Rhinolophus ferrumequinum: one gene and its partners. The protein of the gene in region 4 purifies or fractionates together with the protein of the main gene of each other region. This does not show direct contact. Links are inferred from orthologs where the notes say so. Each region holds a gene or a part of one and is shown on either strand. Other genes may lie near its edges. The genes, in order: CCT6A, CSNK2A2, FAM53C and DCAF7.

Evidence for each region.
Region 1: the proteins of DCAF7 (region 4) and CCT6A purify together in Homo sapiens (affinity purification with mass spectrometry; 3 studies listed by BioGRID and IntAct, counting the BioPlex papers as one, with this or other methods). This does not show direct contact. The link is inferred for Rhinolophus ferrumequinum from reciprocal best matches to the Homo sapiens genes DCAF7 and CCT6A.
Region 2: the proteins of DCAF7 (region 4) and CSNK2A2 purify together in Homo sapiens (affinity purification with mass spectrometry; 8 studies listed by BioGRID and IntAct, counting the BioPlex papers as one, with this or other methods). This does not show direct contact. The link is inferred for Rhinolophus ferrumequinum from reciprocal best matches to the Homo sapiens genes DCAF7 and CSNK2A2.
Region 3: the proteins of DCAF7 (region 4) and FAM53C purify together in Homo sapiens (affinity purification with mass spectrometry; 3 studies listed by BioGRID and IntAct, counting the BioPlex papers as one, with this or other methods). This does not show direct contact. The link is inferred for Rhinolophus ferrumequinum from reciprocal best matches to the Homo sapiens genes DCAF7 and FAM53C.

The regions. Positions count from the first base shown.
Region 1 is NC_046290.1:99,864,959-99,872,540, forward strand, and holds the start of CCT6A (T-complex protein 1 subunit zeta), read right to left. Parts: upstream 3,024-7,582; 5' UTR 2,884-3,023; coding exon 2,747-2,883; intron 2,312-2,746; coding exon 2,248-2,311; intron 841-2,247; coding exon 706-840; intron 123-705; exon of another isoform or gene 1-122. UniProt on the Homo sapiens protein: Component of the chaperonin-containing T-complex (TRiC), a molecular chaperone complex that assists the folding of actin, tubulin and other proteins upon ATP hydrolysis.
Region 2 is NC_046298.1:10,605,820-10,612,918, forward strand, and holds the start of CSNK2A2 (casein kinase II subunit alpha'), read right to left. Parts: upstream 3,032-7,099; 5' UTR 2,662-3,031; coding exon 2,558-2,661; intron 1,795-2,557; coding exon 1,683-1,794; intron 1-1,682.
Region 3 is NC_046307.1:13,421,336-13,429,283, reverse strand, and holds the start of FAM53C (protein FAM53C), read right to left. Parts: upstream 3,037-7,948; 5' UTR 2,799-3,036; exon of another isoform or gene 2,781-2,798; intron 1-2,780. Other genes in the region: oocyte-specific histone RNA stem-loop-binding protein 2-like, read right to left, coding at 4,096-4,227, 4,973-5,093, 5,236-5,388, 6,064-6,168, 6,273-6,313.
Region 4 is NC_046304.1:42,212,717-42,220,503, forward strand, and holds the start of DCAF7 (DDB1- and CUL4-associated factor 7), read left to right. Parts: upstream 1-4,757; 5' UTR 4,758-4,975; coding exon 4,976-5,113; intron 5,114-7,787. UniProt on the Homo sapiens protein: Involved in craniofacial development. Acts upstream of the EDN1 pathway and is required for formation of the upper jaw equivalent, the palatoquadrate. The activity required for EDN1 pathway function differs between the first and second arches.

The DNA of each region.
Region 1 (7,582 bases), on a different chromosome or scaffold from region 4:
TTTCTGAATACATTTAAAAGGATAAATAGTCCTTTCAATGCAGAGGAGAAGAACAGACATTGCTCTAGCACAGAGTCAAAGCCAAGGGAACTATAAAGCACACTTGGGTGTTCACTGTGCAAACTACAAGGAATAATGACAAAAACTCAAGTGTCACAACAACCTGCAGTCAATAGGACCATTATATCTTTTCTATAGGTAATCTGAAATTAATTCATTATCATTTACCAAGAAAAAGTAGACAGGGAGACTAAGAGTCTGCCTCCTGCCTTCCTAAGAAGTTTTTCTTGACATCAGATTAGTATTTATTAAGGTTTGCTTTAACTTTGGACCTACTCAGGGCTAAAAAAAGTTGTAGAATTCTTAAGTCCGTTTTTGGTTGGCTTTTTCCTTATAAATATGCCTAGTCCTGATTTCAATTATTAGTCTACATTATAGACAGACATATGTCATACATGCAATGCAACTTGATAAAATAAGAAACCTTCAGGGCCCAGGAAGGATCTTTAACTTGTCTAGGATCACAATTAATTTGTGTGAGACCAAGATAAAGACTCTGGTTCCCAGATTTAAGCCGCTATGCTCTTCACATTCTACTATATATAGCCTCAGCTACTACTAACACATCAATTTGTATAAATAAAACTCAGATTATTTTCTATACACAATAAAGTATCACAGAAACACGTAAGAATCATGTAATACTTCAGAAATGTACAGATCCGCCTGTTTCAGCAGTTCTCCAATGATTAGGACATTGGAAGTGGTACCATCACCAGTTATGTCATCCTGGGCTGTTGCTACTTTGGCTATTAAGGAGGCTGTTGGGTGTTGAATTTGCTGAAAGTAGAAAAAGGAAAAAAAAATTAAGTAACTTGAAACAATACAAATATACCTTAAAATGTGAACGGCATCCTTAAATGCTATGTATTTGCACAAATTACCCAAGTGTTCAGCTACATATTATTTTGATTAAGAAGTCACCATTAGCTATTTTGCATTGTTTCTGACGACCAAAATATTGTCATGTATATATTTCTCAAGATTATCTCCACTTTATTGATAAGGAAATTTGACGCTCAATTAAGGGCTTTTGGTGGGAATAAATCAGGTAACTTCTAAAATAAAAGTTTAGCAGCCTCCAATATTATTCGGCATCAAACAATTAAAAAGAAATAGCCCTCCTAGCAAAGGTCATCAGTGGATGCTAAATCACTGCATGGGAAGGCTTTGGAAGAACAGGGTATTCTTCAAGTCTCCAATATCACGCACAGATTCTTAATGAGAAAGGATTCAAACAAGGCTCCTGCACTGCTTTTGCTTTTTACCCTTTAATCTTCAGATCGTTGGGGACATTGACAGTTTTAAGAATCCAGCCCAATTACCTTGTAGACTATCTCATTATCTACATTTGCTATTTTTGGCAAGACCAACACAGAGGTGACACTGTATACTTCTGTTTCCTTTACAGTTTCTTGTTAAGCTATAAATGTTTAATGTGCTTCTCTATGTTTATGCTGTATTTCACAATTTAAAAAATCAAGTAAAATAAAAAAAAAAACCATGTAGCTACGTCTTTTCTGATATTAAGTTTCAACTATGACTCCAAGTGTTCTCAGCCAGCACAGGCCACTGATTACATTTGGATGCTGAAGGCATGGTACCCTACTATCAAAGCCCTACATTTTATTCTTAACTCAAAACACAGGCAAGTCATTTCCTTTTCTTGGATTTGAACTGCTAAGTTTTGGGAACTTATGGATGTGTAAAATTTTTGATCCTCTCAATAATCTCAGATTCTTGGTCACAGGACTTTTAAAATGGTTAAGCAAGGCGTTTTATCTCCCCTCCAGTTGAAGATGGAAGAGATGACAGGTAACAGAGAAATTGCTGTTTTAAAGAGACAAAGTACAAACAACCTGTCTCATTCTGCCTATGTGAATGTGTCAACTGCTTGGTTTTCAGATTAGAATCTTAATAATTTCAATCCTTTAAAGGCCTTAAATGACAAGACCTTTGTCTTATTCATAAATAAGTATCAGACTCCAGGGCTCCTCACTGTAACATACTGTGGCTACCATTACTGATTAGACTACTTTCCTACTCTCTCCATTGTCTGTAAGACTGGCCTGTTGAGAGGTGATGAATATGATTTCCTCCTACCTTGAGAATAAACATTAAACATCTCCCTACAAATTAAACCTCCAATGCAAACCAAGACCTTTTAAACGTATAGCAGCCTCTCACCATTTCATGAAGCAGCACGTTGCCATCCTTAGTAAGCTTGATATCTCCAGCACCAGAAACAAGCCTGTTCAATGAGCAGAAACGAAATCAATGTGACTTTTTCAACGGAGACCAAACTGACTCCCATCGACACCACGCTTTACCCAGATCCTAAGAAGCCGCACGCGGCCATTAAGTTGGTCGTCCACTCCCGGTTAACAGGAATGGCGCAGTGCCCACCCCCTCCCTTCTGAGAAACAGTGTGCCGCGCGTCCTCAGGGTCGCTTTAGTCCCAGAGATCCGCGCACGAGGGCAGCTTTGTTCTCTGCGAAGGATGCATCGACTACAAGAGAAAACAGCCGGGGCAGGAAACAGGCCTGACATGGGAACGGGGGTAAAAGGGGAGAAGCAACGGGCGCACAGGCCCGGAAGCAGCGGGCTGGAGACCACGACTGCCGGCATCGCGGCCACACGAGGTGCGCGGTGCCCGCCCGGCCCTCCCCCACCAGCCCCGCCTTACATCTTCATGGTGCCCTTAGGCCCCAAGTTGGTCCGCAGCACGTCCTGCAGCCCCCGGGCCGCGCTGATGTTGACCGCCAACGCAGCCTGGGCTCGGGCCACCTCGGCCTTGGGATTTAGGGTCTTCACAGCCGCCATAACTGACCCAGCAGCAGAAAAAGAAAACAGCAGGCGTGAAGATCGCCCACAGCCGGCTCAGCGTGGCCCAGCGGCGCTATCCGGGTCTTCTGGAAAAGTCGGGCGCGCCCTGCCCGCCCCCAGCGTGCCCACGCGCCGCCCTCATTGGGCCGCCGGTCGGCCGGCGCCGCTCATTGGGTCTTGGTCGCATGGCCGGCCGCCTGCGGCCCCGCCCCTCACTCCCGGGCTTCGGCGCCATTGCGCAGGGAGGCGGGGAGCGTGTTCTCGAGCGGTAAGGGCTCCCGAGCTTCCGGTGTCCTCGCTGGCTTTGCTAACCGAGCCCTGAGGACATAGCGGGGGCCGACCGAGTCCCGCTCAGCGGGAGGTTGGGGCTGTGGGCCGCGCGCCCGTCCGCCTCTTGGGTGACTAGAGAGCTGGCGCTCCTTCCTGGAGGTCTCTGACCGCAGGTTGTACAGTGGCCTCCCTCCCTCCGGAGTTTGCTTTGTTTCCTGCCCTTCTTTTGTCCCTGTCACCAGTTTTCTTGACTGCATCCTATGTGCTTGTTAGTGTTCTAGGTCATGTGGGGCTACTGTAGTGAATCTGACTAGGATTGTGAATGGAAAAGGGTTATGTAATAAACTTGACAGGCTCAGCGGGGCCACGTGCAGTCCTGACAAACTCAGTGATGAAAAGTAACCACCCAAGATTGTCTGATCACAAATTCCTAACTGGGCAGGTAATAGCAGGTCGGCCTACATCTTCCGTAGCAAAGGTTAGCCTTTACCTTAAGGGAACTCGAGCCATAGCGTAGGCGTCTAGGATAATGTATCTTTGAAGTGTCCGAGTAATTTTCTTTTCCAAAGGCACAACTGCTGGCACCAGAGCACAAGACCACAGAGCCCCTCATTATGTTGTTTCCCAGGTACCATCTCTGTGTGCTGTAAATGTTACTATCCTGTACCCACCAGTGTAAGAAGCGTGTTTCTTCCTTTTGCCTTTTATGGAATCCCAGAGATTTCTCTGCTATGCTTTCTTCCACCTCCTTAATGGACCACCAATGGATTTCATGTAACCCTCCTTATGCCTCCTTTGATTCTAATGTATAAAATAAGCTGTGAAACTGCCATTCTCCGGAGCATTTTCTCACTCCATTGAGATTTTGCTTCCCAGCATAAATAAACTCATAAAAATAAATAAACTCATAATTCTCTACAGGTTTAGATGTTTCTTATTCTTGCCTAGTATCCTAGGTGTTTTAGGTCTAGGGAAGACGAAGAGATACAATGCAAGGGAGAATGCAAGGGAGAAAGTGCTAGATGCCTTTAGAAATCTGTGGGATTGGTGTGGACTTTGAGGAGAAGCAAGTCAGTTCACCCTCTGGGCTCAAAACTCACTGCTGAGGCCTTAGACCCTCAAGGCAAGTTTGAAAACTCAAACTTGATTGAGCAGTGTTGTCCAGCCTTTGAGAGGACACTGAAGACAGAAAAATTCTGAAAAAAATATCTACAATTGTTTTCTAGCATCCAGTTCCCCCACCCCTCCAAGTACGAGGTATTCAGTAATGTTTTGTTTTTTATTTTTATAGATAATGAAAATTGTTCAGAATTCAAAAGGTACCAAAGGGTATATGATAAAAGTAAGACTTCTTCCTGCTGGTATAACTTCCTCCAAACAAGCATAGTTAAACCTTTAGATGCTCTGAATTCTCCCAGATGCTTTCTGAATTTAGAAATAAATACTGGGGTGCCAAAAAAATGTATACAAGTGGACACTTTGGTCAACATTACTCAAGCAGTAGTTAGCCCTAATCAGAAGTGTTTGGACACTGATGGTAACTGCTTTGGGCCCCTCCTGTAATTGCAGAGGTCAAATGTGACTTGTATTCATCTTTTGTTATTGGTATATACTAAGTATTATGATTTTAATACAGTTTTCCTTTCTTAAAATGTGTATACTTTTTTTGGCACCCTCTGTACATACATAAATATAAGCATTTTCCCCTCACAAAATGGCAATTTATAATACACAGTGTTGGGTGTGTTAAAGTACCTTGGAGATTGTAAAATATCAATGCAAGTGGATTCCTCATTTTTGTCCCCAATTGTATTAATATCTTTTTATTCTTTTGGTAATCTCTTCCAGAGTTAACTACTTCCGTTTGCAGGTGATGAAATGTCTAAGGAATCCACTTGAAATGTTTACTGTGAGCATGGTCTTTCCCTTCACTCAACTCTGAATTTAGACTTTTGATCCTTGTTTTTTATATTCCAGTCCCAGTAGTTTTCATTGTAGAAGTTATCTGAAGACAGTCTTACACTTTATAGTAATGGTCTAACAGGCTCTAGCTTCTCCAGGAACACTACACAGGAATGGTTTTAAATGTGTATTAAACTAAGAGACATTCTCTCAAAAGAGTTTAAATGCATTTTATTTTTAGACAATCTACATGATATGATTGTCTTAAAAACAATGCCTCCACTCCAAATAAATCAAGGTGAAAATAAATGGAACAGCTCAAGATAACATCAGTCCTATTTGTTCTAGACCGGGGAGTGGATGAAAAGCAGCAGCTAGTTATGATGACAGGTGATGGATCCCAATGGCCAACTCTGTTAACATTTTTCCATTTCTAAACCATCCTTAAAGAAAATCACCTATGGGGTCACACCATCCTCACAGTCGTCCAACAGAGCAACCGTGCCATCTGGATTCAGGTTTTCAACAATAAAGAACTGGTAGTTTTTTGAAATTAGCAAGGATGTACTTGATTTGTTCTGCAGCCCCTGTCATAAAAGGTTTTACTCTTTCTGGTCTCTGTTCTTCAAGTTTCCCTCTGAGGGATTTCATCATTTTGTACTTCTTGTAGGCTTCTTTTGTGAAGCTGTCTTCCTGCTAATGATGGTTCATGACAATGTCAACACAAGCGACTACTGTGCTTTCAGGACCTTCGCCCTCCAGGCCTTCAGCCGAGGTATTTCCACCAATGAGGGAGTCATCAGTATCACCCTCTGTTCTACTGACCATCTTCCCCTCCACCTCCAGGCACAGCCCATCCTCAGTCTCCTGGATCTTGTAGATGTTGGAGAACATCTCATCGTGGCTGATTTGGTCCCAGTAGATCATCACGACGGTGGCTGGAAAGACACAACAGTGGCACTGGCTTAGCAGGAGCTGGGAGTGAGCACGATGCAGCCCAGCACTGCTGGGGGGAGGGGGAGCAGGTGAAAACAGCGGGATTCCTCATGAACAGCTGCATGATATTCTTTGTAAGAATGACATAGTTACCCAGTCACCTACTAATGGACGTTGAGGTTGTTCCAGATCTTCTATTCAGGCTACAGTGAATATCCTGGTATATAATGCTTTTATGTAGGCTTGTATATTTGAAAATCCCAAAAGTATCTACATAAGTTTGAGTGATAGTATAACACAACACAGTAGAAGGAGCCCCATGATGTTACTTGCTGTGCATGCAGATTTATTTAGCTACTGTTAGAGATGTGTGGGAGACATGAACAGAGATGAAGATTGTGGAACTTCAGTCATCTACTTGCAGGTAGGGAAAGGGGTAGTGTAAAGACTTCCACTCTCCTGAGGTGCAAAATTTAAGAGGCACCCAAAACTCAGTAATCAAGATGAATGCTTTAATGCAGTTATTTTTGCAAAATTTATGCAAAAAATCCATAATGAACAAATACCAGAATATTAGATTAGGCATCTCCACTAACATCATACCAGGAATTAGACAAAGTCAGCAAAACAAGGACCCTCATTATTCCTCTAGAGGCAAGCTATTTGCATATATCATTCTTCTAGTCTTAGTTATCACACTTTCAAGCAAATTAATTCTTTCCAGTATATGATGCAAAATAAAGTAGCAGGGGAGTGTTGCCTGTATGCTAATGTATGTATAGGATGGGAGAACTTTAGAATGTTGTTTGGAGAATTTTAAACAAAAAGTCACATTGTGGGAGCAGACCCATAGTATGCCATGATTGAAGAAATAGAGGTGGCGGCAGGTGTTCAGCTATTTGAATCAGGAGGGATTTCAATAAAGAACATTTTAAGGAAAGAACCCTAATGAGGCAGGGTGGTGTATTGGAAAGTATCCCAGAGTGAAATAATTTGAGTTTGAATTCTAGTTTGCAATGTTTACCAGTATGTGGCCTTGGAAAAGTTACTTAACTTTTTGGACTCAATTTTCTAATCTATAAAGTAGGGGTAAATGACATCATAGAGAAAACTGAGATTGCATGTATAACATGCTTTGTATTGTGCCAGACATGGAAGGTGTTATTTGCCACTGCCGTTCATATTACGCAATTAACTACATAATGTTCATAGCACCTTCCCATCAGTTGTTGCATTTGATCCTAATATGCATCCTTTGAAGCCCTATATTAAACCAGTTTCACACATGATTACATCAACACAGAAAGAGTGTAAATGATAAACTCAAGGTCACACTGTTGTATTAGGGGAGAGCCAGAAACCTAGGTTTCACCCTTGACTGCTTCCTTTGCCTCAGGCTCCCATATTCACATGCTCCCTGAATATTTTCACACCTACTTTCTAGATGTCACCCTTCTCCACTCTATGTACTTTTCTCCATCCCCATGTCCACCACTCAGGTTTAGGCCATGATCATTTCTTATTGGGATAACTACCATAGTGCCCTAAGTTTTTGCTCTGCCGTTAGTCCTCTTGTTGCTAGTAAAGC
Region 2 (7,099 bases), on a different chromosome or scaffold from region 4:
AGAAGAATGACTGAAGAGCAATGTGACACTTTCCTAAATGAATGTACTGTTACTTACGTGTACACCTGGACACTGTTCCTTTCAAAAAAGACCACAGGAAATTGCATGTATTCTAAAAACTTTAGACAATTTTCCGGATTTGCTTTAGAGTAAGCAGTTCATTCTTCTGAATGCACAGCAACAGAATACAGATATTTCTAATTTCATTTATGCCTTGCTTACTTCCTAGAAAGATTTTAAGCAGCTTATACTAAAAACATTTACACTAATGTACAAAGGAAAAAAATTGTATGATTTCCCCAGGTGGCCTCTCTGAAAGGAACATTTCTTTAAATATTTACATTTGTAAAGACCATGTGACTTTGTAAGTACCATTCATATTTAGGGAAGAGGGGAGTCAAACACCACATCTTCAACATCAGTTTCTCACTTCTTACCCCCCGTGTTTCTGACAGTACGAAGAACTTATTTCTCTCTATTGCAACTCTGCTTCTTCATCACTAGGCTTGGATGGTACTAAGAGTTGATCAGTTTTCTAAAAGGTGATTTTTCAGACAGTATAAGCTTGACCTCTCATATTAAACAGGGACACAGCTACCCTAACTCCATCCTTCAGACACAAAGTGTTTCAACCCCAAATTCTTATTCACAGAAAATTCTGTAAAATGGCCACATTGGAAATCTTGTACCTGTAGAAGTGCTTAGATTACTCTTTGGTCTTCTCAATATTTCATAAATTACATGCACACATATTAAATGATCTGGCAATGCTGAGGACACTTCACAGATTCTAATAATTACTTTTTAGGACAACCTATAAAATATGGTTAAAGCTACACAATCAGTTACCTGAGGAAAATTTAGCCAACTCTTCACGCTCATTAAGATCATGTCTTCAAAAAAAGAAAAAAGAGATCGTATCTTCATCTAAGAGACGACAAAAGGTCCAACATGCTACTCGACCAAACACTAAGACTGTTTTATTCCAATTATTATTTCAGCAGTGAAAAGTGCACTCATCTACTGCTCCCAATTTCACTTCTACTGGCTGATAATCAACAATGAACCTTCTGGCACTAGTGGCTCACTACACCTACCCACCTGAAACTTCTGTTGCCAAAGAAGAAGAAACAAGTGATTATCCACTGAGATGTTTCCCTCTACTCAGGCTGCAAACTCATCTTTGGAGCAGCTCCCATTTTTTCCAACATTCCTTCTGGGATAACTAAGGGCACCAAGAGTAACCAAATAGTGCTCAAGGAGCCCTTGGAATGATGGATCTTCATGGAAAGGCTATTCTTTCTTCTGAACACCTACTTACTTTGTAACAAGTGGAGCCCCCTCAGAATATTCACTTTGGGAGCTGTAATTATTAGATTAGTGCAAAATTGCGGTTTTTGCAAGTATTTGTAACCTTTTAAATCGCAATTACTTTTGCACCAACCTAATACATTTCCAACAAGGATGCTGCCGAGCGATCCTGCCTCAATTTGAAACAGGTCCGCGTATTTTCTTGAAAGTTCACAGGAAAATAGGGTGGGAGGAGTAGTGGGGGTACATCAGACAGAAGATACGTAAAATGGGAGCTTGAATTGCTCATTCTAGAATGTGGCTGGGGTAATTTGTATCCTTCTGACCTGTGGAGGGGGTAAAAAATGTAATGCCACTCGTAAGACACTCACCTTGAGAATTTTTACCACCACTCTCTCATTGTTGGTGATGTTAATGGCCTCAAACACTTCACTATACTTCCCCCGACCAAGTTTTCGAACCAGTTGGTAATCTTCTTGATTACTGTAAAAGGCAAGAGAGAAACATCAATGCCAGGAGTTGGGATTAACCAAGCCTATGCTCACTCTACATCCCCATCCAGCTACTTCTATAAACCAAGCACTTGGACATGTGTATCCATCACGCCACAACTCATTTCCCTAAAAGAACGCCACAACATAAACTTGGCTCCTTTCACTCTGCTCAGAGCTCCTCACCTAATTGGTCCCTGGTAACTTGTGGAGATGAAGGAGGAAGGCACTGCTCGGTGCCAATCTAGACGGGGGAGCAAAGCATCTACCCCGGAGGCTCCGAGGGCAGCCCTCTGCCCGGCGCGCCGCGACACCTGCCTTCTATTTCACACCCTTAAGACAGCGCCAGCTTTGAGTATCTGGACGTCTTTTAAAAATTTCCTCCCACCCAGCCTCATTTCAAAAAAAACTAAAAAAGCAGAAAATTCGAATAGCTCAAGAGGACAGCTGCTGATTTCCCACCCCAATAAAAAGCCAAACGTGTGAGAAGGGCTGCTCCCTCCCTTCCACCAGGCCCTGGACCCAACACTTCTCCCCAGAGAGAAAGCATTCCTTGGGGTCCGGGGGGGGGGGCACGGCAGGGAGAGGGAGACAAGGGCAAGGCTCTGCCTCCCACCCCAGATCCGAGGACACGCCGGACCAGCAGAGGGGCCCGCGGGCAGCCAGACCGCCCGGGGGCGAGTGCGGTTTGCGCCGGGGAGCGGCCGGGCGGGGTGGGGGGGAGAGGACCCGGCGGGGGACGGCGGCTGCTTTACCCCCAGCTCGGGATGTGAGCCTCATAGTCCCAGTACTCGCGGCTCCTCAGGCTGTTCACCTCGGCGTAGACCCGGGCCCTGCTGCCCGCGGCCGGGCCGGGCATGGCGGGCGGGACCGGGGAGCGCCGCGGGGCGCCGAGGGCGGCCGCGCGGCGAGGGGCGCGGGGCGGCGGCCGGAGCAGGCGGCGGGCCGCGGGGCGCCGGAGGAGGAGGAGGAGCGCGGCGGCGGGCGGCCACGCCAGGCCGAGCCCGCGGGGGCGGGCGGGCTGGGGGCGCGGGGGGCGCCGGCCGAGCCGGCCCGGCCCTGGAGCGGCCGGCGGGGCGGTGGGGCGGGCGGCGCTCACGCTCCGCGGCGGCCTCCGCTGGGCTCGCGGCCCCAAGGCGGCGGCGGCGGCGGCGGCAGCACCAGCAGCGGCAGCCGCCGGCCGGGAAAGGGGCAGCAGCGACGGCAGCGACCAGGAGGAGGAGAAGAAGGAGGAGGAGGAGGAGGGAACCCGGAAAAGGGCCGCGCTCACTAGGAGCGGCCACCGCCCGGCCCGGGGCCGCCCAGGCTCACAGCGCCCCCTGCAGCGCGGGGGGACCCGCCGTGCGGTGCTGGTCCCGCCCTCGGCCCCGCCCCCGGCTCCCGCCGCCCAGACCCCCACTTTTAAAGCTCTCCACCCTCAGTCTGGCGGGACGAGCTCACAGGGCCTCCCCCACCCACAGATTGCTGCCTAAGAGCCTCACCCCTCGTATACCCTTTCAGGACTGTCCTGGAGACGCCTGTCCTAAGCCCTCCACCCTGTAGTCGTCCAGAGCTTACTCACCCCGACCTCCCTACTGAACGGACCCTGTGCTGACCTCCTGTCACCCAAACTGTTCCCATCAAGTCCCTCTCCGATGATGACTCGCTCTTATCACTCAGAACCTCCCCACCTCAAGATTTCTCCATCCCTCCCAGAGACACCCCCTCTTCCCGGTTGGATCCTGCCCAGTCACCCATCGTTTCCTCCAACACGACTCCTCTCTTCATCCAGAGCCTTCCTCAAAAAATCCTTCTCTTACACTTTACCCCAGATTTTTCTTCCAGAGCCTTGTCTAAGACCCCTCTGAATGTTCAGTTCCATCACTTGGTCAAGCTGGAGTCAGCCAGGTTGCTTCTTGTCAAGTTCCTATTTTTCCCTTTGTAATTAAAAAGCGATTTATGGGGAGACACTGGAGACCATGTAAATACCCTGATTTTTGTGGGGGAGGATGAAGAGCAGGGGAAGAATTGTGAGAGTCCCATGAAGGGACAAGCTGGAGGTTGTGCATGGACTGAGAGCAGGATGGGCAACCCAACTTTGGCCTATATTATTATGTTGTCTCCTAGCCGTTAAAATTCTTCTCTCTTTGATCTTATGGGGCTTTCTGTGGTCTTGTGTTCCCATTCTAAATCCTTTATCAACAGAACTTCCATACTCAGCCTGGGTTGCTCTGACTCCAGTTATTTTCCACATTCTGTTTTCTTGCTTTTCCTGCTTCCTCCTTCTTGACATAGTTTAGAGTAGAGATCGTGGAGTCAGATCCATCCAGGTTTGAATTTCAGCTCTACCACTTACAGGCTGTGTGACCTTGGGTCAATGACTTAACCTCTCTGTGCTGTGGATTTTATGGCATAAAAACAGGAATGGCACCTACTTCCCAAGGTTATGGGGAGAATTAGACAAGGTAAACCGTACAAAACACTTAGAACAGGGTCTAGCAGATACCAAATGCACAATATTATTATTACAAGACCAGAGCCTTTCTTTTATCGCTTTTCCCTCCCTGAGACCACCAGAAGCCCATCTTTTGGTTCCTTCCAACTCCAAGCTTGACCACTTCCACCACCTCCACTCCTACCTTCCCATGCCTGACTCCTTATTCCTTTTCAAGTCTCACCTTTAAGTTCACTTTAAATGTTAGAGTTGATACTTCTCTATCTCAGCACCCTATCCATATCCTGAAGACAAGAGCATATTTTGTAATTATTTACTTGTTTCCTAGATTATTGTCTGTCTCCTCCGCAGTAAAAACAGCATGAGAGCAAGGACTGGATCTGGATGCTCACCTCTGGCTCCCCCAGAATTTGCCACAGTTGGAGACTTTCAAAACAGTCTTACAGTGTTACCCACTTATCAATTCCAAAAGGGAACCTGGAGGTCCCCACTTTAACCATAAATCAAACTTACCATCAGTAAGGGACCTCTGGCCTTCTGATGTGATATATCGAGAAGGGACATGACATCTGACGAAAATGCCTAACTTGAATCTCATCACAAGGACCCAATCAGACAAATCCAAACTGGGGGACATTCTACAAACCATCTAGCCTGGACTATTAAAAAAAATATCAATGTCACAAGAGAAAACAAATCTCTGAAGTAGTGTCTTTGATTGAAGGAGCCTGACAGATATGACTAAAAGAAGTGTATAATTCTGGATTTAATCCTGGATGAGAAAGGCAGGAAGGGAGGGCAAGAAGGAGGAAAAAGGGGAAGTAGAAAGAATACAGCTAAAAAGACACTATTGGTATTACTGGGGGAATTTGAATAGAATACGCCTATTACATGATAGTTGTCCATGTTAAATGTTGTGTGAGGGTTCTCTTGTGGTTATGCAGGATAATCTCTTGATCTTAAGAGTTACATGCCAAACGTTTAGGGAAGAAGTATCATAGTATCTTGCAGCTTACTCTATTGGTTCTACAGAAAAACATGTGTTCCTGCCTGACAGCACAGGCATACGTGGGGAGAGGGATGCATTTAGGGATAAATGTTGACAAGTGGAAAACGTAGTTACAGACTACATGAGTTTGCAACTTTTTGGCAGATTTGAAGATTTTTCAAAATAAAAAATGGAAGAAAACAAAGCATTTGTAGAATAAGTGGACTTTGGAATTTAATTCCCAAACCTGCAAACCTCTCAAATCTCTCGCACACACAGTCTCAAGGTTTTAACGAGCCTTAGGATTTCTTTCTGACAAGTCCCTGTGAACTAGTCTAGCCCAGAGGTTCTTAATACTGAGCTCTTGGATGAGCTTTCTGGGTTCCAGGAACCCCCAACACTGTGCAAAATTTGTGGATGTGTGTGTGTGTGTGTGGGTGGGTGGGTGGGTGCATTCTTTACTTAGGATCCATCAAATTCTCAAAGGAGGCCATGACCCAAAAATGGTTCCAAACCACTGGTCTAACTACTAGGTCCAACCCCAGCCAGGGCCCCATTCCTCACCATCACCCTCGCCCACCTCTGCCTCCATCTACCCTCCCTGCACCTTCCTTTCATCCTCACCACCTAACCCACACCCATCTCACGCAACCTGCTCCCACACCTGCCGTGATGCCTAAGGATTCACCCACACGTCACTCTGGTACAACAGGCTCCTGGATTTAGCTGACACTTCGTTAATTCAGCCCTGAAATCCACTGGCAGTCCTCCCACGGCCAAATGGAGTGTGTTTTTATGGTTTGTTGGTAGGTAGGTTGGTTGGGCACCCCATGAAATTGGAGGAGACCCACTTCCTAGTCTTCCTTCCAGCCCTCCATGAGTGTACTTGGCGTGAATTAAGATGGGCAATTGGAGATGGCACCAATGCCACCCTCACTGAAGGAGGAAGTCTCAGTGGCCTATGGAGAGGAATAGGCCGACGGCTCTGCAGGAGTGGGTGACAGGGCAGGGAGGTTCAGTGAACCCGAATCGACTTCCCCTAATTATTCTGGGTGTATTCTGTGTGTAGGGTGATTATAATTTAGGGTTACATAAGGGGGATAAAAGAGGGCATCGTGAGTCAAATAGCCCAACAATTTTATGCCCCCAAAGTCTATCCAAACACCCCCCCAAAACAAAACAAAACAAAACTTTTAAATTCTCAGAAGAATACTTTCTATCTTCATAAGGCCCACTTTCAAAACTGTTTGAGAGGTTTCTGGGCTTTTATCCTGTATTGCTGGTTCTAAGAACCTAGACTAAGAAAATAACGTTGATTATGACCAAAGAATTATTAACAGAGGTGACAATTTGTGTGTTCAGTATCATTGAAACCTGCAAACACCCTGAGGCTGAAACCCATTGAATTTACACTTTAAATGAGTGAATTATATGGTATGTGAATTGTATCTCAAGGGAGCTGTTTTAAAAATTCTATGAAAAAATAAAAAAATAAAAAGGCTGTTCGTTTCCAACAACAACAACAACAAATTCCATGAGATTGGAGCTATTGCAAGGATCCCCGTTCTGCAGTTGAGGACATTGAGACTCTAATGCCACGGATAATTGAGGTGGAGCTGGATTTGAACTCAGGTCTTTCTGACCACTCAGTCCATTTCCTGAATCCCTTTCTGACTCAATACACACCCCCAAAGACCCAAAGACATTCATCATAAAAATCATCATCTTTAATCATAAAAATGTAAAACAACTTAAATATCCCTTATTGGGACCAGTTAGATAAATTGTGTTATGTACCTATAGCGAACTATTAGGCATCATTAAAAATTATGATTATCAGGAATTTTTGGTGATGAGAAAAAGCTTATTATATAA
Region 3 (7,948 bases), on a different chromosome or scaffold from region 4:
ATGTATGGCACACATACCACAGCATCCCTACGCCAGGCCTCTGGCAGACATCATTAATTGATCACAGTTCTTTCCTGTTAAGCCTAAACACAGCCGTAGACACATTCTAAACTTGGCACTCCAGATATGCAGAAAAATGAACTGGAGGTGGCAAGTTGAAACCTATTTGCCGCTCCTAACTTGGTTCATGCTCTGCTGTCTACCCAGAATACCAGCACCACTTAGAAAACAGCTCGAGTGAGAGGAATGCCCAAATGGTCACTTCCATCCTGATTAGCCCAATATTTTTATTTTCCAGTCAAAAGCAATGAGAGGTACCCTTTTCCTAAACTACAGAAATAATAATAGGGAACAGGGAGGAGCAGCAAGGAATGACTTTCTGCTTCAGACCGATCAGAGTAAATAAGGTTTTAAGTTCTTCCTTAGCCTGACCAGCTGATGTATTATAGTTGTCTAACAGACACTGTATATATTCTCTTATAAAACGAGAAGATAAGGAAACGGTACCAGGGTAATTCCAATTACATTTCAACTCTACAGATGTTAAAAACAACTCTATGATTTCATTCAACCAAGTTTTTAGCTTGATCTAAAACCATGAATACAATTAATCAAGACTCTTTCTCAGGTTAATTTTGGTAGAAGCAAACTAATTCTATCAAACAGGCTTCAAGCCCACACCATTGCCTGAGGGGCCTTGTTCCAGGGAGGGGAGGAGGTTAACCTAGCGTCTCCATACTATTCTGCCTATTTCCAGAAATGACCAGCAGCAGACAGCTCACCAGAGGGTATAGGTAGCATTCGCTAGTAGAACTATCAAGAAATCTAAGTCTTGATCCGATTTGCTATGGCAGTTTTGGCAAATCATTTAACCTGTCTTGGTCCCAATTGACCCACATATAAAACAGGCAGAATAATCTGAATCTGTCACAGGGACAATATATAACACGAAATATCAAAATGTAAAAAGCATACCATCTGGCCTGTACAAACCAAGAGTCCACATAGGCTGCAGTTTCTCACCCCTCCCATTTGTTGCTCTACAAAGCCTCAGAAGGCCATAGTGATGATATCATTAAGACAAGAAAGCAATCAATCGGGTTTATCTATTTGGTTGGATGTCACCTGCATAGCAAGAGAAACCCTAAAGGGCTCTTCTGTGACCTTGGAGGCAGATCACTTTCTACTTTTACAAAAGAGAAGGACTCATCTCTACCCCAATCCCACTTCAGAGGGAAGCAGGCCACAAGGAATCAAAGAAATACACACGGATGTACTTGGAGTTTGGGGGAAGAAAGATGTGAGAGAAGTCAATCGTCATGATAGTCAACTATCATTTTCATGCATAATTATTACAACCCTGAACAAAGTTCCAGCTTCCTGAGAGCTCCCTTCAGCTGCTTCCCCTGTGTTCTTGTGGAAGAAGCTAAAGCTTATATCACTTCTGCTCTTGGTTTCTTAACTCTGCCCTCAAAGATCAACCAGAGAGGAAACCTAACTGCAGGCTTTTACCCCAGAAAGCCCAGACCTCTGACTGACCAGCCATGAGGAGCAGAGAGTGAAGCAAAAGTCTTTGGAGCTTTTCATGAGGCATTTGGCCAAACAGCAAACTCCCAGCCCTCTCTGGGATCAAGAGAAGAGAGTGATTTCGTGTTTTTCTGCATTTTAATTGTTGGGATGTGGCCACACACACACACGGCGGTAATTGGAACAATGCAACTACCACCACGCAACTGATACTCTCAGCCTGAGTTTCCTAAAACAGGCCAGGCTGAGAGGGGGAACAGAACGGAAGCCATAAGGAATCAAACCAGGACACAAAAGAAGGCAAACCAGCTCCGCCAGGGGCCTCCTCTTTCTCAGGCAGGCATAGAAAAATGTGTAAGAAGCCCTCTCTTGCCGCCTTCCTTCCCCTTCCATTTTGTATATCTGAGGGGTAGAGACAGCCCTGAACGTTCACTAAACAAGTTAAAACTTCTCAGCTTAACAACTGGCACGGGGCTCAGCCCTCTACAGAGCAGCAGGCCGCAAGGCCCTCCCCACAACCCCACCAGGCCCAACTCTCAATCCAGGCTTTCCCTCCACCATCGGCCTCCTAAAATAAAGGTTGGACCCCCATCCCATCTTCTATTGGATGGCAGTAACCCTTGACATTCGGGTTTCAGGGATGCTGAGGTTGTGCTGAAACCTGGAGAAGGTAGGATCAAGTCAGGCCAAGAGGGAGGAGAGTCACAAATCCCCTGGGGACCCTTCCCCAGGTCCCAGCCCCACACCTCTGGGAGAGACTGGAAGAAAACATGAGGGAAGCAGGGAGGTGCATGAACAGGTAAGTGGGGACTTGACTGCTTTTCTCCCATATGGCTCTGGTGGAGATGGGGTAACAAGTGGGGAGCACCCCTCCCCCCACCCTGATGAAGAAGCAAAATGCTAGGCCCCCCCTCCAATCTTAAACCTCTCCCTCGGTTGCCCTGCCAGTCCCCGCGGGGTGGGGCATGGGGCGTCCGCTGGCCCCGGGAGGGGGGGGCGCGCTAGGGTTCGCTCAAGGGGGTGTTGCTCGCCTCTTCCCAATCAGCTTCCATCATCTGGCCGCGAGAAGCGAACTCAGGACTCGGGGGATGGAGAAGGTCTGGGACTTAGCACTCCGCCACCCCCTCCCCCACCGGGTCCCGTGCTCTCCCCGCGGAGGCGGTTAGCGAGGCCGTGCGGCGCAGGCGGCCGGGCTGGGGGAGGGGAAGGAGGGACGGACGGCCGAGGTGCCCGCCCCGAGGCCCCAGCGCTACCTGCCCTCCGCCACCTACCGCGGCTCCTTCAGCTCCCAGGGCCGCGGCCGGAGCAGCTCTGAGCGCTCCGTTAGCCCCACGGTGCCCTTAAAAGGCGCCGGCGCAAACCAACAGGCCTCTGAGGAGAGTGGGGGAATCGCTCCGGTTCACAGAGTTCTCCTGAACCACCCCGGGAGGCTCGAGACCCGTGTTGTTTCTCTGTCAAAGTCTTTCTTGGATAACGCTGTCAGGAACGAGCCCGGCTTCTTGATTTAGGGATGAGGACGGTTTCCTCATTATCGAGTCACCCCCTCCAGAATATTGCAGAAGGTGGACCGGCCCAGTTGGAAGCATACCTCGAAACCCGCGGGGGAGGCCGTATCAGACGAAGGTAAACAAAGCCATAGCCCCCACCCTCCATTCCTACATGGGCCCAAGTACAGCCCCCTAATCGGTTCGGGCCGCGTACTACAATTAGCCAAGGTTCCTCTCACCTGCTCTCCGGTCCCGCTTTCTAGGGCCACCTCACTGAAGGAATCCCCCTTCCCCCAGCAGAGGACCCGTCCGTGACGTGAAGGATTCTGGGAAGTGTAGTCCAAGCGCCGATTAGGGCCTGCTCTGTGTCCCAGGAGCCCCTCTTCCAGTGGCCGGATCGGCTCGAACCTCATAAATCCAGGACTTGTAACAGTTGCGGGGCCATTTCCATTTGGTTCTGTAATTAGCCCTTACCCCAAACACTTAGTAAAGCTGAGGAGGGCCCAGGGCTGTTCACTCCTTCTCCTCCCTCTACGCACCACCCCCCCAATAGGATGAGGTAATGGGATTGTGATTATGACATCATAGGCGGTTCAGTAGCTCGCGTGGGGGGTGGGGGGAGTACGGTGGTTACAGCTGGACCACTTTCCTTAAGAGAGGGAAGGAGGGAGGAAAACAGGCAGATGGGGAAAAGATGTTGATGTTGCTATATTTCCTCTTCAGGAAGAGGAAACCACCTTTTTATTACCTCTCCACCATTGCCACCACCTCCCACCTCAGCCAAAGTTTAAGTCCTTTCTGAAGAGACTGAATGTAGTCCGTAGTAGGTGAAGAGGTTGGGGAACAGCTAGATGGTTTCTGGTCCTTATGTAAATTTGAGTCTCAGCTATCAAAGAAGATTTAGAGAGACAGACAAAAAGATGGAAAAAGGAGAGGTTTTAAACAATGCCTCCCTGTTGTGATCTCTTTTGTAGGGCAGGATTTTAGATTTCTCTTTTAATCAATTGGAAAGTAACAGTAATGCAAGTAAATCCTCACTATTACACTTAGCAACAAGGCCCCGGAAAGACATCTGTTTTCCTTAAATATTCTGTGCCTCACTCAAGTCTGGGACAGATAAGTAACTGTGATCAGCCAGAAAGTAGAACCAGTGGTGGGGATCTTCTTCACAGAGCCAGGGAAGGGAGAAGGCAGGAGCCACCAAGTCTGCAAACTGGAAAAGAAGAGGGAAAGTGAGGTACTTAAGAAAATGGGGGGGTGAAGGGAAGATGTACTTCACATTTCCTTGCCCTGCACATTTGCCCTTGGGAAAAGAAGGAGCAGGGGTAGGGGCCATGAAGTTACAGGAGACATGGTTTCCAATAATTGCTATTGTAAAACACTTATTATGTGCCAGACACTTTAAATATGTATTCTCATTTTTGCTTACAATCATCAAATGAGTCAAAATCTCCTTATTTGACAGATGATAAGTGACTGCCCATGTGGTGGACAAAGGTAGTATTTAAAAAAAAAAAAAAAAAGAGTCTGAAGCTCTAAAGCCCTTGGTCTTCGCCACTAGGTGATCCCCCTTTTTATTATTAACCATGCTTACTAAAATGATTGAGTATAAGAAGTTAGCATTGGCTCATTTGCAAAACATTGACAGAAATTGAGGCAGTTAAAAAATAACAAGCCCCGCAAGTTAAGTTTCAGGCCTCACTTCAAAGGAAAATTATACACCTTTCATCAAGTATAAAATAGCCCCCAGTGCAGCCCAACTCCCCATTACTAACTATAATTAAATCTCCTTATGTCACTTTTCTCAAGTTTTTAAATTCATGTCATGCTATTTTTTCCTGCTGCCCCATTTTCTTTGTTTTGTTTTTGGACTACTACCTTGAAGCCCATCTTAATTGTGACCTCCTGGACCAGACCCCATCTCTGACCCTGCTCCAGTGGATTTCAGCAGAGGATACTACCTGGGCTCCCTCTGGTCTCCATCCATATTGTGAAGATTCCAGGGGTTGGAACCAGTCATCCAGGAGGTTATTCAAAAGGGAGGAATCCACTGGCTCTAAGAGACTCTTCATTCCCTGCCTGGGAAGGCAGCAGAGTCAGAGAAACATGCACTTCATTCAGACTCTCCTTTACAGCCAATGAAAGCTAAATCTTTGCAAAGTGGGGGAGATGTAGGACTCAGTCCACCACTCAAGAAAGGAACCAAGAATAATGCACACACCCTTTAGCCCCCGTGCCCTGCAGAGGTTGGCTGGGGGGATCCCAGGAATGTAGGGCTCTTCTCCACTGCCTGATCTGGGCATCCCAGGAGCGGCGACTGTACCTCCTATTTTTGTTTGGTGTTTGAGGGTGAAGTCCTGGCTGTCGCTGTGTCCTGGCAATGACAAATGTGTCAGAATGAGGTCAAGGTGAGGGGGCACGGCTCACTGCTTATCACAGTAAAACAGGAGACTCGTTAGGGAGTCTCTGAGAATAAGGTATGATCAATTCTCTTGATCCAACAGAAAAAAATAAACCTTCAATCAGATTAAACATCACCTTCCTAATTCCCTAATATTCTTTCTTCTGGAAATGGTAAATTATATATTCCAATTTCCTCAGAAGTCAAGATAGATATAAAAGACAGTATTTGATATCCTGTTCAAATACTTTCTACCTTTTCATACATTTAGTTTGTATGTATGCATGCAAATTTACATGTAATTGGGCAAGTATGTTGCAATTAGCCACGTCAGTTGGAGGCATGAGGTAAAAATGATTGGAAAGAAAAAAACTTCATTATCCAAAAACATGGATAGTTTTTTTTAAAAGATAGACTTTTAAAAAAAGTCTTATGTGCCAAGTATGACTTGTTCCATTTGGAAAAAATCTTGGAAACTTAATTTGGGGGCTAGATTGCAGGATAATTCGTTTTAGTAATGCTGCAATTTTGTGAGAGCACTCAGATTCTAGTATCTTTCCATCACCTGACATTGAACCAAAGCCACTTGATTGACTCTCTTATTGTGACTATGCACAACTTGGGGGAGTGCTTAAGATGGGCACTCACTTGGGGACCTGCTGCAGAAAGCACTGGTAACCAGGTGTGCGCTTGCCATAATCTATCTGCTTTTGCCTCCGCTGTAGGACAATTTCATCTGTCTCTACCTCCCACCTGCAGAGAAGTATATAGTGGCTCCATGAAGTGTGATTATAATTATCAAAGCAGAAACCAACTCATCCCACCCTCCCTTAATCCCCAGCCTGATTTTCACTCACCTGGTATGGCAGGGCTCTGTGCTGACTCCCACACTTACCATCTCTATCCTAGAGGACAAAGAATCTTCACACACCTCCTTCCTGGGGAAGCAGATTCTACAGATGAATCTGTGTTAGGGCAAAATCCAGCTTGCTACACTGCACCTCTCAGCCACTACTACCACCACCAAGATCCTGACACCAGATAAAGGTTGTATTTCTGACTTACTGTTTCTAAAAGGTAAAGGTTGCATTTCTGATATGTTTCTCAAAGTGTGGTCTGCAAGCCATCTGCAGGGGTAGCACCTGGGGACCTTGATAATTCCTCAGCCACACTCTAGACCTATTGAATCTTCATTTTGGAGGCCTGTATTTTAAAGAGCTCCCAAGATTATTTTAAACATTTTTTTTTTAATTATAGAAAATTTCAAACATACAGAGAAGTAAAGAGAATAGCATAATATTTTGCTACTCAAACTATGGTCCCTGTAGCAGCTGCATCAGCATCAGCTGAGAGCTTGTTTGATGTAAAGAATCTTGGGCCCCAGCCCAGACCTACTGAATCAGAATCTGTATTTTAACAAAATCCCCCAGGTGATTAGTATGCAGCCTAAACTTTAAGAGAACTGACATAATGGACCCCCGGTTACCCATCAACCAATTATTATGGCCAGTCTTGTTTGGTCTATACCCACCACCACTACCACAGGATTACTTAAAAGCAAATCCCCCAAATTAAGAATAAATTCTTACTATCACCTAGCCAATGTTCAAATTTCCATAAACAACCAAAGTTTGGGATCCTTTGGACTTTGATGAGGATTGTGCCAACAGATGATTCAACTCCCCTGCTTTCCGTAAAAAGGAATTTCCTTTACTCACATAACCTAGCATCTCAGAGATGCTGTGCGTTAAAAGGGACACCCAACAGGGAAACCTCTTGGAAGGGGCCAATGCCGTTTAGCATAAATACACACACACCTGTTTCGCCACATCTGCCACACCGGCGACAAATGCTCCACTTCCAGCGGAAGGCTAGCAAACTAAGAGGGAAAGGTCCATGTAACAACACAAGAAAGAACCAAGGAAAAAGAAACGCATAAAACACCCTTGTATCGAAACTAATGTCTTCAGGTATTAACCTAACGAGTGGACCGCGGAGCAAAGTGCAATTTAAATCTCCCGGGGACGAAGGGGCTGAGCAAAGGGAGAGCTCAAGATGGGTGTGGCGATTGGCCAGAGGCAGAGCCAATGGTGCGCCAGGCTCCGTGTGGGGCGGGGCTTACTAAACCCCTTGCCGAACGCCAGTGGGCCAGTCGGCATTCTGCTCTGGCTGTGAGGCGGGGCAAATTGTGTTCCTTCCAGCTCAAGTTCACGCCTCCGGTTGATATACCAGCCAAACGATTGGCCGAGGGGTTTCTGGGCGGGCGTGCGGAGATTGGCTGACGCAGTTTAGAGGCGAGCGGGATAGGTTATTGGGAGGGCGGAAGGTTTGAATGGTCAAGGCCTGTGGCTGTTTATTTTCTTGCTCCGAGGCTTCGACCCTCTGAGGAGAGAAGCGGCAAAGTCTGACTCCGACCTACCCAGTGAAAAAGCAGAATTGTAGTCTGGTTAATTGCCACCTTTCCCCAGATTACCTTTAATTCTGCTCTGGTCTTCGCTTGTGATTGACCCCATCTACATCCACTTCCCTTCCT
Region 4 (7,787 bases):
ACCTCATACTCCAGGGCACCCAGGTAAGGAGATCCACTTCACCTGCTATGTGTTCCCAAAGCAGGAGGGGCATGGGATCAGGGCTGTGGAACCAGCTAGAACAAGCTCAGGCTTTCCTTTCCCTCTTGCAGGTGCAGCCCCTTCCCTGAGCCTCTCAGAGGCATCTGGGCTCTGGCCTGAGTTGCTGCAGCAAGTGCCCCCAAGACCAAGGCACAGCCCCACAGACCCTCAGGGAGACCCAGACTGCTGGCCTCAGGAGCTAGGCTCCAGGCTAGAGCAGCTCCAGGCCCAGGTGAACAGGTGAGTGCCCTGCAGGACAGAGTTCTGGGCTGCAGAGAGCAGGCCCAACGGCAGGCTAGGCACAGGTGCCCCCTCCTGGTGACTTGGGGACATTACTGGATGTCCTATGAATTTCAGAATGGCTGACAGCATTTAATAGCAGGCTTCCCCATCCCTATGTCACTGAGCACAATTCCTTGGATGGCTTGTCCCAGCAAACCCCAGAACATGCCAAGGAAACTTTCTTAGGGCAGGGGCATAACCTCGTGCAGAAACAAATTCCATGGGCCCTTGGAACGGGGATGTGGCCTGTGGATGGCAGGGCTGTGGTGGCAGAGTGAGAGGTTAGGGGCAGAAGAGTCCTGAGTTCAAATTCTGGCTCTGCAACTTACAAGCAAGAGTGTGGGCAAATCACTTAATCACTCTGAGCCTCTGTTTGCCCTTTTGTGAAATGGGGATAATCAGAATACCCATGTCAAAGGTTCTTTATGAGGCCTAAATGATGTGTGCATGGTGCTTGGTCACCTTTATTGACAGAGGGGAATTTGGTGCTAAGGGGAATTTGGGGAGGGGCTGCGGATGGTAGCAGGGAAATAGCTTCAGGTAGGCCCCAGGCTTCCATTCCATCCAGCAGGAACAGCATGTAGGCTACAAAATGGAGAGCTGTCTTCCGGACCTAGACTGCTCTTACCAACCCTGACCCTGACCTTAACTAACCCTGATCTGCCCCTGACTGTGGGGTTCTGTCGGGTAGGCTGGAGTCCCGCATGTCCTCAGAACTCAGCCGCATCCTGCAGCTCCTTCAGCAGCCCCTGCCCCAGGGCTGCACTGGCTACATTCTGGGAGCCCCTGCCTCCAATGACCTGGCATTGTTTCCTGCGGCCTCAGAGACTCAGAGTCCAGGAACTAGGCTGCCCCAGGGCGATCTGCCCCCTGCACAGGTGAGCAGGTGAGGGGATCCCCAGGGGCTTGCCTAGAGGCAGCTGCATGCCTTCCCCCACCCCCAACTTGGTCTCAGTGTGGCATCAGGCCCAGGGCCTTGTGGCCTGAGAGCAGCCATGGCTTCTGCTGTCCTTTATGGTCCAAGTCATGACAGGGCAGCCTGGACAATTAGTGGCAAAGCCCAGTTTATGACTGAGACCCCATAGCTGGGGCAACGGTAAGAACACATAGTTCCTACCAATTCCCAGCCCTGAAGTCAGGGTGGCCTGGGGTGGGGGCTCCCCACACTGCATCCCTCACTCTTTCTTGCCCCTCAGACCACAAGCTATGGTGACTTGGACAAACATGGGCCGAAGCGCAGGAACTCCTCCCCCAGGATGCCTCACCTGGTCATGGCACCAGACAAAACTCTGACACTTTCCTCGGAACTGGAGCAGCCTGAGGGGCTCCTGTCACCCCTGGCCTCACCTCTGCGTGCCCTGGAGGTACAGGGACTCATCTGTGGTCCCCGCTTCCCCTCCCTCCCTGATCACCTCGGCTCTGTCCCCAGGCAGCTGGAATTCCAGAGACATGGCTCAGATCCTGGATTTGTGGGGAGTTAGAGCCACTGAACCCCAAGATAAAACACACCATGAGGGGATTAAAGGTGGGAGAGGTAAGAGTTACATATTTGGGGGAGGTAGACAGCCGCCAAAATCGTCCTCTGAAAACCATTCTCCTAGAGTAGCTACAAACGTCTAACCCAGGTGATCCAAGATGGCAGGGTAAGAAGGCTTAGGATTTTCCCAGACTCTTCCAGGGCTTTGTGTAGATAGCAGGCCTGGTGGAGGGTGGGTGAGCCTCGGGCATGGAGGAAGCTTACTGGACAGAGGGTTCAGTGAGGAAAGGAGAAGTTTCTGATCTTCTGTGTGAGAACTTTGCTCTAGGCTGGGTGCAATCATGTCCTGGATCAGAACTACCCACCGCCTCTTGGCTCAGCATCCAAGGTTGATCAGACTTCCTGCTGAGAGCCTGTGACCTGGCTGGAAATGAAAGTGTCCTCTGTAGTGGACATATCGGGGCACATAGCTCCAGCCCTCAGCTGCTTTGCCTCTGACGGTTCTGTGATGACCTTTGGGACTCTAGCAGACAGTGGAGTGTATCACAGCTAATAAAGTCTGCACATTTCACGTTGGGCTGGGTGTGTAACTTACCTGCGGGTTATCACGTCCTTGACTATGCCATGACCCCAACATCTTGTTGTCTTCTCCAAGCCCTTCTCACCGGAGGTGTGTGTTAGGCACCTAAAGGTGGCTCTGCTGGACCCAGGAGCACCTGGATCACGGGGCTTTTAGCCAAGCTGGAGTGAAGGGAAGCAGAGAGGTACTGGCTTGGTTAGCATAGGGAATCATGACAATAGCCACCACTTTCATAACACCCTGTGCCAGGCACTGTGCTACCTGCTCTGCAGATATTAGTTCATCTAATCCTCACAACAATCCTATGGGGTCAATGTTATTCTCCCCATTATAGAGAAGTGGGATCAGAAGCAGAGAGAGACTAAGAAACTTACACAAGCATAAAGGGGACCTCTGGGGGGGAGCTGATACTGTTCGGTTTCCTGATCTAGATGCTGGTTACATAAGTGCGTTTCAGGTTGTGAAAATATGTACACTTATACTTCAATTTAAAAAACAGAATTTTGCCCAACAACACAGGAGAAGGAGGATGTAACTTCAACCCAAATGGTCTGGCATGAGAATACATGCAGTTAACTACTCCACTGAAATAGGCTGTTGCAAAAAGTACCCAGTCACTGGTATTCAGTTCCTTTTGCTCCAATATTTCCTGAATAATTTTGAAAATGTATTTGCCCCCGCACATATTTTTAAATTGACATCTGAAGTATTTCAGTAATAAGTTTAAATAGCTGTAAAGGATGTAATTTCCAGTGTGTTGTAAATATTGATACTTTATAAACTGTTTCATTTATATTGATTCATTTTGATCCAAATAGCATAGTGATTTGAGAACCAACATCATTAATTTTAAAAACACTACAACAAACTCTTCTTTAACATCATTCTTTTTACTCTTTTCAAAATTCCATTCTATTCCTTCCAATTTATGCTACACCTAATTTATTTTCATGCTTTAAAGTCTATTATTGATAATCTTATCATATCTCTTTGCAACACGAACACATAAATTGAAAATATATAAAATGAAAAATTTAATTTTTTGTAATCTTACAAAGGCTTTCAGGGTTATACTTATTAGTTCAGAGTTTTTCAAAACAACACAAATATATCAAATTTTTATAAAAACTAAAATTTTATTGGAAATGCATCTCTTAAAAGAAGGTATTTTACTCTCAATTAGTTCATATGTGTGGATGAATATAATTTTTTATTAGAATAAGACAAGCTTCAGCAATACTTTTGTACCTACTTTTCTATCCTTTTTAAAAAACTTAAACACAGAGTAAACTTGTTCACATAAGTAGATGGGACTGTAAGGAGTTTGTTTGCATAGCAGTGCCACTCAATTCTTTGAATACTGAGTTATCTAACAACTACATTTATCATTAAAAACTGTAGTTGATGATATCATCTAATGTCAATACAATCCTCCTTTAATTCTGTTTAAAGCAAAGAATTGGAAGCCATTTAAATTGTAAAGATTCAGACATTCTCCATTCAAACTCACAACACAGATAAATTTAGCGCTTGATTAGCATTTGCCTTGGGATCCGAAGCGGGGAAAGGATGGAATGGGAACAGAAAGAAAACAAAACAAAAAGAACTTATTACCAAGCTGGTCGGTCGCTGCCTACTGAAGGGCCAACCCTAGAATTCCCAGCATTTCTAGAATGGACAGGAAAGCGCGGGAAGGCCTGACTGAAGCTGGCCTGGTCCTGATTACATGGGCGGGTTAGTGTGCAAAAGGCTTGTCCTCGGCCTGCCCTTGGGGTACTGGAGAACAAGTCTCTCGGCTTAAAGGGAGCGTTGGTAAGAGTGAGGAGGAAAGGTGGTTCCCATTTGGCTGGTGGGCCAGAGTGCCAGGCCGAGGGGCTTAGTGCCGCGAAATGCAACAGGCCCTTGAATAAGGCAGAATTTTAATTTTTACTCGACAGCATGTAGAAGCCGCTCGGAACAACAGCTGCAGAGTGGAAGTCAAAGGAGGTTACACAAGAGGTTTACCACTGTCAGAGATTTGGCCTAGAACTTGGGAGGCCTACTACTCCGCCTCTATGCCACCCACGCCCCCATTCACCCGCACTGCGCCGTTATCTCTTTGACTGACATTTTTGTCAGCCAATGACCTTTGGGGCTGAGAAAGCGCCTGCCCCTTGGAATTGGGCGGTGCAAGTAATTGGAATGACAAACATTTACACCAATAGCGAGGAGGTTTCAAAAGCTACCGGGTACAATAGCCAATGAGAGTAAGGAACCGTTCTAAAGGACGTATCAAGCAGCCAACAGCCGGCGCCGCTGCGGGGGACGCGTGACTTCCGTCCCGAGAGGGCGGGGCAGCATCTCAAACGGAAGGTGGTTATCGCCCGAGCCTTAGCAGTTTTGAAACTGGGGGTCGGGCTCGGCTGTCGTTGTCTGTCGCTGCGGCCCTGCTTCCGGGCTAGGCAGTCCCTGCCCGCCCCCGCCCCGCCTCCCTTCGGACCCCTGGGTCCCAGGCCCGACTCCCCCACCCGACTCACGCACCGCTTGCCGCAGCCCGCTGCCGACCCGGCCCGCACTGCGGCCCGGCCGCCGCTACCATGTCCCTTCACGGCAAACGGAAGGAGATTTACAAGTATGAAGCGCCCTGGACCGTCTACGCCATGAACTGGAGCGTGCGGCCCGACAAGCGCTTTCGTCTGGCCCTGGGCAGCTTCGTGGAGGAGTACAACAACAAGGTTGGTCGGGCAGGGCCTCGAAACTCAGCAGGTAGGGGGCGGGGCGAGCGGTCCCCTGGAGCGCCCTTTCCGGGCCGGACCCCCGACCTCAGGACCCTTCTGCGGACTTGCCTTTAGCACCATGGAGTTGTTCCTCTAAGTCTCGTCCTGAGCAGAGGGTTTCATATTCGTTTCATTTAATCGTAGCAGCATTCCTGTATAGTCGGAGTGTAGTTAACCCGTACTCCCATTTTACCGATAAGGAAACAGAGGTAAAATGTTGTGACTTGCCCGAGTCAGACATCTGTTTCGTGGCGGAAACAGATCTCAAACCTGAATTTACACCCAAAAACTACGCCATTTATCACTTGTATCTCCCTCTCTCCTGCCGCATTGCTTCACGTGGGGGGCGGAGGAGGGAGGGATTACTGAAGGAAAATGCTGGCGTCTCAGTTGGTGGCCATTCACTCCTGGCTACACTCGATTTCTCTTGGCTGTCTATTGCGCAGACTTCCCCTCGCTCTTCTCCCACCCCCAGGTACTATTCTTGAGGATACCCAGCCCCTCTGCTAGGATTGCCATTGCTGCCTTATTACCCTCCTCTTCAGTGCGATCTTTTTAAAAAATCTTGGCCAATGGCCTTGCTTTCACCACTGTTTACTGAATTAAGAAGGATGACACTTGCCACATCTTTTCTTGGCTTTTTCATGCTAATGTGGATGTGTAATCCTGAGTAGTAAGTATCTGTCAATTTGAGTAAGCCTTCATAGAAGCATCAGTAGCAAGGCGAAGCTTGCACGCTGGCAGTACAGCATAAACTTGTTTTTGAAAGTTGTTGAATAAGTCAGCGGGAAGAATTTTCTGGGCTTTACCTCTTAATCTCTTCCTTTTGTTGTATTAGAGTAAACGTTGTGATTGTTAGGGATCACAGCAATTGAAAGCCTTGGCTAGTGTGTTTAAAGCCAGTACTCCTGCTTGACTATGTGAACACGATGACTTAAGAATAAAACTGTGGACAGTGACAGGACAGAGAGCTAGCAGTTCTGACCCCTAGTTTGTTTTAGGAAAGGGGTTCTGTAAAAAACATTTGAATAATGTAACTTTGTTTACAGTTCTTCAGGAATACAGCTGTTTCTCTAGTGTTAGGTCTTTGAAATCCCTTTGCCCCTTTGAGAAACCGATGAAAGCAAAGGACTCTCATTGCCCCCGACACTACACATACACAGTTTACAAACAAATACCAGGGAGTGCATCCACTGAGGCCTACCTGATCTTGAAGTCCACCCATTACCCACAGAAAGCAGAGAGTCCTGGCAAGACAATTTTATTTTCTTTTTTCTGATGCCTTTCTTCCTGATGGCCATAGTGGACAGCAGAGCTGGGAATGGAATTCATGATTGTGATGTGGAAATCGCATTAGTATAATTAAGAGCACTAGAACTATTGTTTGAGGCAGGGGTGTCAAAACTGCGGCCCTCGGGCCAACTGCGGTCTGCAATCCATTGTTAATTGGCCCGCAGCAAAATCCAAAAATATATTTAGTTTACTTAAATAAAGCAGGTGAGGCAATACGTACTTCACCTCGAGTGAGAGGCCTGGCTGTTTGTGTATTTTACCGTATATGGCCCTTGGTGAAAAACGTTGAAAAAAGTTTGGACACCCCTGGTTTAAGGATACATGTTAAAAAAAAAAAAAATGTAAACTATGTATTTTAAAGAGCTTGAGTCTTTTCACCCAAATAGATGTTCTTTTTCCTTGCACATTTTTCCAGGATTAGTTTGGGTAAGCAATAGTAATTACATTTCTAAGAGAGGACAGACTGACCCACAATTAGGCTGCTGGTGAAATTAGTGGAGTAAATAGTGTCAAATCTCAGTTGCAGGAACTTTACCCCAAAGTTTGTACTTCCATTTAGCAACCATATGAGAGCTCCTTTGTGCCAGGCTTACATGCAATGTGGCCTTAGTAATATAATGCAAACTCATGATTCCAGTGGTAACAGCTAAGCAGTTAACTGTGTTTTAACTTGTGTGACATAGGTGATCAGCATCTTAAAACTACTTTTGTGCCCCCACGTATGTAGGTCAGGGTTTGTAACGTGTGTTCATCATGCCCTGGACACCTTTAGCAATCTGAAGCCAGTAGACATTTACTCTTAATTATGTTTTCAAATGCATCAAATACATAGGATTATGAAGGAAACCAATTGTGTTGAACTATAGTTATTAAAAACATTTTTTTAAAAGTGATGATAGAATAATATGTAACTCGTTACACCATCTGGTGTAATTATTACTGTATTTTTGAAGTAGTGATAAAGGTAAACAGCATTTCAAGATGTTTAACAACTGTAATGTGATATGAAAAAAATCAGTGATTTGTATTTGTGACAAAGTCACAGGTATTCATGCTGCTGTGAGGAGCCATCTCCATTTGTAATTGAAAGAAATGCTAAATTTCAGCTAGTGGTTAGTGAAAATATGAATGTAATTTTCTAATTCAAGTTCATAGACCCCAAGTTAAGAAATCCTGCTGTAAAGGATCTGTGCCGAGGGGCTGGTGGGCAGCAGTAATTCTCAGGGTCAATTTTGGGGAAACCTTGACATGGAGGTGCCAGATTCCATAATTTGCAAGAATTTAAAAATTATTGGTTGGAATTTTCAGACCTTTGGTTCCTGCTTGCCCTCGATAGTGA